Linked DNA regions of Danio rerio. Each later gene encodes a partner of the first gene's protein in a complex. Links are inferred from orthologs where the notes say so. Each region holds a gene or a part of one and is shown on either strand. Other genes may lie near its edges. The genes, in order: flt4 and vegfc.

Evidence for each region.
Region 2: the proteins of flt4 (region 1) and vegfc are in contact, whole or in part, in a crystal structure (PDB 4BSK), measured with the Homo sapiens proteins. The link is inferred for Danio rerio from reciprocal best matches to the Homo sapiens genes FLT4 and VEGFC. Residues at the interface, in NP_891555.2 of Homo sapiens: Gln172, His199, Asp200, Ala201, Leu202, Tyr203; in NP_005420.1 of Homo sapiens: Leu119, Asp123, Trp126, Gln130, Asn167, Arg210.

What each region holds. Positions count from the first base shown.
Region 1 is NC_133189.1:18,154,887-18,158,719, forward strand, and holds part of flt4 (vascular endothelial growth factor receptor 3 precursor), read right to left. Parts: intron 228-3,833; coding exon 101-227; intron 1-100. UniProt on the Homo sapiens protein: Tyrosine-protein kinase that acts as a cell-surface receptor for VEGFC and VEGFD, and plays an essential role in adult lymphangiogenesis and in the development of the vascular network and the cardiovascular system during embryonic development.
Region 2 is NC_133176.1:41,980,771-41,984,603, forward strand, and holds part of vegfc (vascular endothelial growth factor C precursor), read right to left. Parts: intron 2,678-3,833; coding exon 2,538-2,677; intron 1-2,537. UniProt on the Homo sapiens protein: Growth factor active in angiogenesis, and endothelial cell growth, stimulating their proliferation and migration and also has effects on the permeability of blood vessels.

The DNA.
Region 1 (3,833 bases):
ACGCTCAGGGTTCAGGTTACGGACACAAAGTTTTTTTTATTCAGACATTTATGGGAAATCTTCAGGAAATAATAGTAATAATTCAAAAAGGAAGTGAAACCTTTTCTTTGCCGTCCACCATCTGAGTCAATGTGTCAATACTCTCAATAGGGTTTACAGCATGTTCAGGGTCCAAATCCATCCAGTTGTGACAGAAAGGACTCTGGTCTCGTCCACCCCTCCGTCTCCTGTGAACATATAAACACAAAATATGTGTGTCAGCACATAGATTCTATGAATATCACTCTCTAATGTGTGTGAGTGTTTGGGAGGGACATATCAGGATCCAGGATGCTCACACTGACAATTTCTACTCCAGGAACAGCTTTAGACTCTGCCTTCCTGTGTGTGATGAGAGCTAAGCAAGGTTTGACAAATGAAGGCCACACACATGTTTGTTAAGCTTTAAATCATCTATTCTAAACGAATCAGCACAATGGCTCTGTTACTAAACCCAGTCAGCTGTTTACCTATCAAATATTAAATAATCAAGAAATAAAGTTTTGTACACACAAATTACCTAATTGATAATCATTAAAGTTTTTAACTGTAAATGATTTTTTGCTGATTTCACAGTTGAACATCTGAAAATATATTCTTGCTGTATAAGCCATTTACAGTATGTTACTGTACTTATTGTTTTCACAGTATTGTTGAAGCACACTCAATAATGAAATATGTGTAACCCTGCCGGCCCTACATCACCCAACCCGCTTCGAGCTGGGATCGATCCAGGGACTCTTCGCATGGGAGTTAGTTGCACTAACAAGGAGGCTAAAGACCAAGAGAAGGCTAAAGAGGTCAGAGGAGAGAGGTTTATCTGCACAGCACAACACTAGCTGGCCTCCATTACATATGCATTATGGGAACCACCTGTTACTGTACATTTAAATGCACTCATACAAAATGACCAGAACACTTTGCTATGATGGATGGATAGGTAGGTAGATAGATAGATAGATAGATAGATAGATAGATAGATAGATAGATAGATAGATAGATAGATAGATAGATAGATAGATAGATAGATAGATAGATAGATAGATAGATAGATAGATATACAGATAGATAGATAGATAGATAGATAGATAGATAGATAGATAGATAGATAGATAGATAGATAGATAGATAGATAGATAGATAGATAGATAGATAGATAGATAGTTAGATAGATAGATAGATAGATAGATAGATAGATAGATAGATAGATAGATAGATAGATAGATAGATAGATAGATAGATAGATAGATAGATAGTTAGATAATAATGCCACCATTAAAAAGCCTCATGGTCAGCAGCACAGATCATTGGCCTGCTTTCTGTCAGCTTAGTAAAGTGTGCATCTGTGATATGTGAAAGGAACCCATGTTACTCAACTGCAGACTGATGCATATCCAGACAAAGCAAATGTTTTTTTGGGATGGGAAGAGGAAATATACCGCAAACTCAAGCTCTTTCTTGGCCGAAGCATTAAGTGTGTTCTAATATCATTCAGCGGATGTAGAAGTGGTACAATCAAACTGCTGAGTGTGAGATGTAAATTTCCCGCTGACACACAGCAAGATTCTAAGTCAGATGCTAAATGATTTATTTAACATGACAACTGACAAAACAAATTAAAGCCTCTGAGTTGGATAGTAAATTATTAAGGTTTGACTTCAGTACAGCAAAATACAGTAAACTGATTTATTAATAAAGTCTGAATGTGCTTTACTAAATCATTGGTTAAGCTATTGAAGTAAGCTGTTCATTGGTGTGAATGTAAATGTGCTCAATTGGGTAAAACAAGTATTAACATCAGTGTTGTTTTTAAATTATGAAGGAATTCAATGGCACTCGTTGCTTGAAAATAGGCTTTTTATAATCCTGCTCCGTGACTCAAAACATGAAACTATATACCTAACCTTTAAAAAAGTGTAACCTCTGGAGCAGTGCTAATATCTACACATTTCTACAACCTTGAAGTGGAACGCCTAGCCTGACTTCAAGAAATAATGAGTGCTGATAAATCTATAAAGCACTCCAGGTTGTGGTTTGAGCGTGCAGGAGTAATGTTGAAGCAGATGGGAATTGCGGTGCGCCTGTGGCTCTCTCTGGGCCTGTCTGAATGATTCAGCTGCCGCCCAAACTGCAGACCCTCCAAGCTAAACTCCACAAGCAATTCAAACCTCGTAGCAGATCCAAGACATCCTCTATCGGGGCCAGAGGATGCTTAAATGCCGCCTGTCTCCGTGTTTCCTGTTGTTTAGACGACAGGCCTCTGCCCTTCACACTGTGCTCTCTCCAAGCAGAACACTATAAATATCCTTAACGCCCTCCTAACCTCTCCACCTTCCCCAGCTGCCTTATCTCCAGCGAACACGGAAGAAAAGCTGCCACCGCACCGCTTGCTCAGACTTTACTGCAGAGAAAATAAACAACGCTTTTGAAAACACGGGAAAGAGCATCCCTGACCAGTAAGAGACTGCCAAAAGAGACAAAGTCTATCCACTCTGAACTCAACGTGAACTATGAGCACTGACATTCGACATTCAGTGGTGATTTTGAGGGCTTCGCAAGATCATCTAATACTCTCATTGATCCAGTGCTGACACTGGGAGCAGAATCCCATCACAATGTCGATATCCTTTGATTTGAGAGTTTTAGCCCAATTTATCCTCAATTTTCACATCCTTAGAATGTGATATAAAATCTTGTCGATGACCACGATCTGTGCATATCTGGTAATGTGAGCCATTTACAAGCCCAAATCATAAGTAGAATGCAAATAAAAAAGAAAGTAGTGATTTCTAAAATTACTTTGACTTGTATTTTATTGCAGACAATACAACAAACATTATTTAAAGTGTTCCTCATGATTTTATAGAGGTTTTTTTTTTTTCGTAAAATAAACTGGTATTTGGATTTTGGTTATTGCAACACATTTTTAAAAAAGTTGGGACAGGAGCAATTTAGGCTCTTAATTTAGGGCTACAGCTGTAATCAGGTAAATTGGTTAAAAAATGATGTGATTTAAAACATGTGATGTCAACAGCTGATTGTAATTATGATTTGGTACAATGGTAGCATCCAGGAAAGGTCTAGTCTTTTAGGAGCAAAGATGGACTGAGGATCACTATTCTGGCAATTTTCAAATCTTTCTCAAAGAAAGATAGGAAGACATTTGGATATGTCACCTTTAACAGTGCAAAATTAAAAGATTCAAGGAACCTGGTGGAATTTCAGTTTGCAAAGGACAAGGCCGCAAGCCTAAGCTGAACAACTGTGACCTCCGATTGCTCAGGCGGCACTGCATCAAGAATCGTCATTTATCTGTAAGCGATATCACCTCATAGGCTCAGGAGTACTTTGGCAAACCTTTGGCAAATACTGCAATATTTAGTTACATCCACAAATGCCAGTTAAATCTAGGGTTGGGTACCTTTGTAACCAGTATGTACTAGACCGAATCAGCATATGAATTTCAGTGCCTAATTTTGGTGCCACTGGTGCTGCGACAAGGACGTAAGAAGCAAGGGGTGCATCAAAGGCACACATAGGTACTGTACGTCACACCATCTCTAAACACTTCATTCTAAACAACTCTTGAGGAATATGGGCAAGCGATGTCAGGCGTTTGTTCTTGTTGCTTATGGAACGGACACACGCAATTCATGCAGCACAGTGCATTCAGTGAGCGAGAGCGACACTCTTCAGATCAACACGCATGATTGCGTTCATCAAATTTGCTTAAACTAAGCGTTTTAAAGCATATTTTACAAGCTAGGGTTCTGACACAGCAACGTGAAGCAGAT
Region 2 (3,833 bases), on another chromosome or scaffold:
ACGTTTTCACACTTCAGCACTTCATTTCAGTCAAGATTTGTGTGAAGAAACACAAATGGTTTAAAGAAAATTTACATCTACAATTATGCACTTTCATCCAAAGCAGCATTTAAAGGGCACCTATTTACCCCTTTTTCAAGATTTAAGTCTATTGTGTCTCCACAATGTGTTTCAGCTCAAAACACCCAATCAGATTATTTATTATACCTTTCAGAATATTTACATTTTCTGCTCTGAATACAATGTGCCCACCGTTCACATGTGCCTGTCAGAGTGTGCCTCAATCTTTACCTCAGCTGCATCAGATAAACAGTACAGTGACAGACATGAAGGAAGCAGACCTCACGTAACATGTGTGAGAAATACTACAGTAGGAACTTTCCCAATGATTATTTGATGTATTTTTTTGTGGAGTTAATTCAAGCCTTTCTGCAATGATGAGTCACACACAATGTCATTGCAAAGTTCACAAACACACACACACACACAGACACACACACACACACACACACACACACACACACACACACACACACACACACACACACACACACACACACACACACACACACACAGTGCGCATTTAACTTTGAACTCTTTTTGCATGGCAAATGTGACAGGACACATTAATATCCACTGCTGTATGGATATACGTTATGCTAATGTACAAAATAAACCTGATTTAACATCCACAAACTGCAATTGAAGTGTCTTTTTTATAATTGTTATAAAAATTATAATTTTATAATTATAATTTTATAATTGTGCTGACGTGGCTGTTCTGATGAATAAATGCAATTTTATTGTCTTTATTATAAGCATGCACTCTTTTTAAACATGTTTTAAACTTGTAAATCTCATTCTTGATCAGATCTGATCTGATGATGATTGAAAATCACAGCAAGCTGAACAGATCTTTTAATCCCAGTTGCTTTGATATGATTATACTCGTTGCTATGGAGACATGTTAATATGAAACTGTCAATCAATTTGGTCGGTTGGGAATCCAGACTCCTACGTTAAGTTGCTGTGGGCCTCAAAATGGGAAGGATTTGTATCCTATTTTAACATTAGAAAATTTTTAAAAAGATTTTAGAAAAAAAAAGAAACTTATTGTCTTTATATCACCCCAATATGACAGTGGACACACTATACTGTACATACACACAGTTCTGTCCAAACAGCTTACAAAAGATGATTTTCACCATAGGATATTTTTTATCAGGAAGGAAAAAGCGCTCAGAATATATAGTGAAAATCTTAATAAAGCAACAAACCTTTAATATGATTGATGAGAAATGTCAACTGTACATTGAACTTTTCCATCAAGTTTTGAATAAAAATAGTTTTTATAATGTAGGTGCTTAAACAAGTAGTTTAACCAAATATTTGCATGTATATTTGCTTTTACCGTGTATTAACTAGATTATTAGGACATTAGCTTCTATGGTTTGGTCAAATAATCATAACTTAGGGTGTACTCACACTTTGTACACGATTGTCCCCCCTCCCGTCTTCCCCGATGGCCCGCACTCACATTACATTCGGGTCTGGGCACGCTTAGGAAACTAAGGATTTCTTCAGTTATATCACTTTAGTCATTTGATATGCAGTGACACGCAGTCAAATATTTCACCGAAGAGATCAGCCACTTTTGACGCTCATAAACAATCATAAAGTCCTCGTGTTGCAGGAATTAGGAGGTTTGCTCTAGGTCCAGCTGTGGTGCAGTGAGGGGTTTGCATCTTTAATTTACTACGACAGTTTTTGTGTTCATTGAACAGTAAGAATGAATAATAAATCCATATAAAACAGTCCCTTAAAAGTTACGTGTCGCTTTCAGTTTCAGGCTCAGGCTGGTTTTGCACTCACACACAAGCGTACCGCGCCAAAGTCCAAGTGAACCGCCTGAGCCAAATTCAGAGCACTTACACTTCTCAAACTATCAGAGAAATGGGCCTGGGCACGGTTCGAATAGCATAGTGTGAATGCGCCCTTAATTGAAATTTGCTTCTTTATCAGTTCTAAAACATCTTCCTGCCATTCAAAATGAAAAAACCAAGTAACCAACTAGTAAAACTTTGCCTTCAAATAGCTTTTATCCATGAAAATTCCATTATATATTTTTTTCTTTGCATGTACATGGCAGGCTAGATTTTGTAACAGAGCTAAAATGTGCGCAAGTTCTTATATCTTCATTCAAGATGTCACATTATGTCATACCAGACATAACCAGCATAATGTTACAAAAACGTGGTAAATAGTGTCAAAATTGAATATACAATCATCATTATCATTGTCTTTGCAACAATAAGGTGTTCCATTCGTGACTTGAAATAGATTTGAAACTCTAGCTTTAATATGTTCAGTATACCCATACACAAGTAATTGCAGTGCAATCAAATATTTCACCTGGAATAGACATGTGTTTTAGAATATAATGACATTCTGTTGAAACCTTCTAAGCGTTCAAAGCAACAGAAAAATGAAAATACTGTAGATGTAAAAGAAAAACACTTGTGTGTTTGAACACTTACTCTGTTAGGGCCCTTCGTATGATTGAGTGCTGCTGTCGGTACAAATTTTGTTTTGACAAACAGCTGCAGGAAGTGTGGTTGGCGAAGCTTATGGTGACCGGTTTGGTCCCTTGCTTGACTGGAACTGTGATTTCAAACAACTGCGGGATGAAAATAGAAGAAAGGTCATATTTTCAGTGAAATCAGACTAATGCAGACTATCTGACGTAAATGTGAAATCGTAGGAAAGGTTACTTAATCTTTAAGGAGTGTGCTGGATGTCAAAATGAAATGTGGTCTGTCAATTATATCTGAATCGAGATTAATGAAAAGATTTATGTTTAAATGAGTTGTGCAACTGCGAGATTACACAGAGTTTCTCTGAAATCTTTGAGTGTTCAAACAACCACAACTAGAGTATGATCAAACAGACTGGTAAGGGGAAATGGGTAATGGGGAACTTGTGCTAGATAATTTGCAAGGCAGGCAAATACTGTTACACCAATAAATCACAACTTCCTCCAGCTATAGGGAAACATTCCTAAGAATGTATGTTGAATGAGCAATTAGAAGTAGTGGTAATGAGAATATGTAGCTAAAATATAGCACATACAGTTGAAGTCAGAATTAATAGCCCCCTGAATTATTAGCCCCCCCGTTTATTTTTCCCCCAATTTCTGTTCAACGGAGAAAAGATTTTTTAAAACACATTTTTAATCATAACAGTTTTAAAAACTCATTTCTAATAACTGATTTATTTTATCTTTGCCATGATGACAGTAAATAATATTTTACAAAAGATTTTTCAAGACACTTCTATTAATGCTTAAAATGACATTTAAAGGCTTAACCAGGTTAACTAGGTTAATTAGACAAAGTAGGGTAGTTAGGCAAGTTATTGTATAATGATGGTTTGTTCTGTAGACTATCGAAAAAAAAATATATAGCTTAAAGGGGTTAATAATTTTGACTTTAAAATGGTGTTTAAAAAATTAAAAGCAAAAAAAAAAATCTATTGTTCAAACTTTGAAAAAAAAAGCATAAACATAAATACACAATAAAAGCATCATACATCTGGTCCATATGACTTGTTTTGTATTCACAATTTTCTGATGCCACAAAATAGCTTTAAATGAGAAAAAGATTGACATTCACTCATTAACATTCTTAAAATTTAACTTTTAGAAAACTTTTATGGTTTCTTTCTTTTTGAAGGCTTTAGATGATAACTGTTATGGCACAGAAATGAATGTGGAAAGAAAGTCATAGAGACCTGGAACAACAAAAACTTAATCATAGATGACATAAATTTCACAG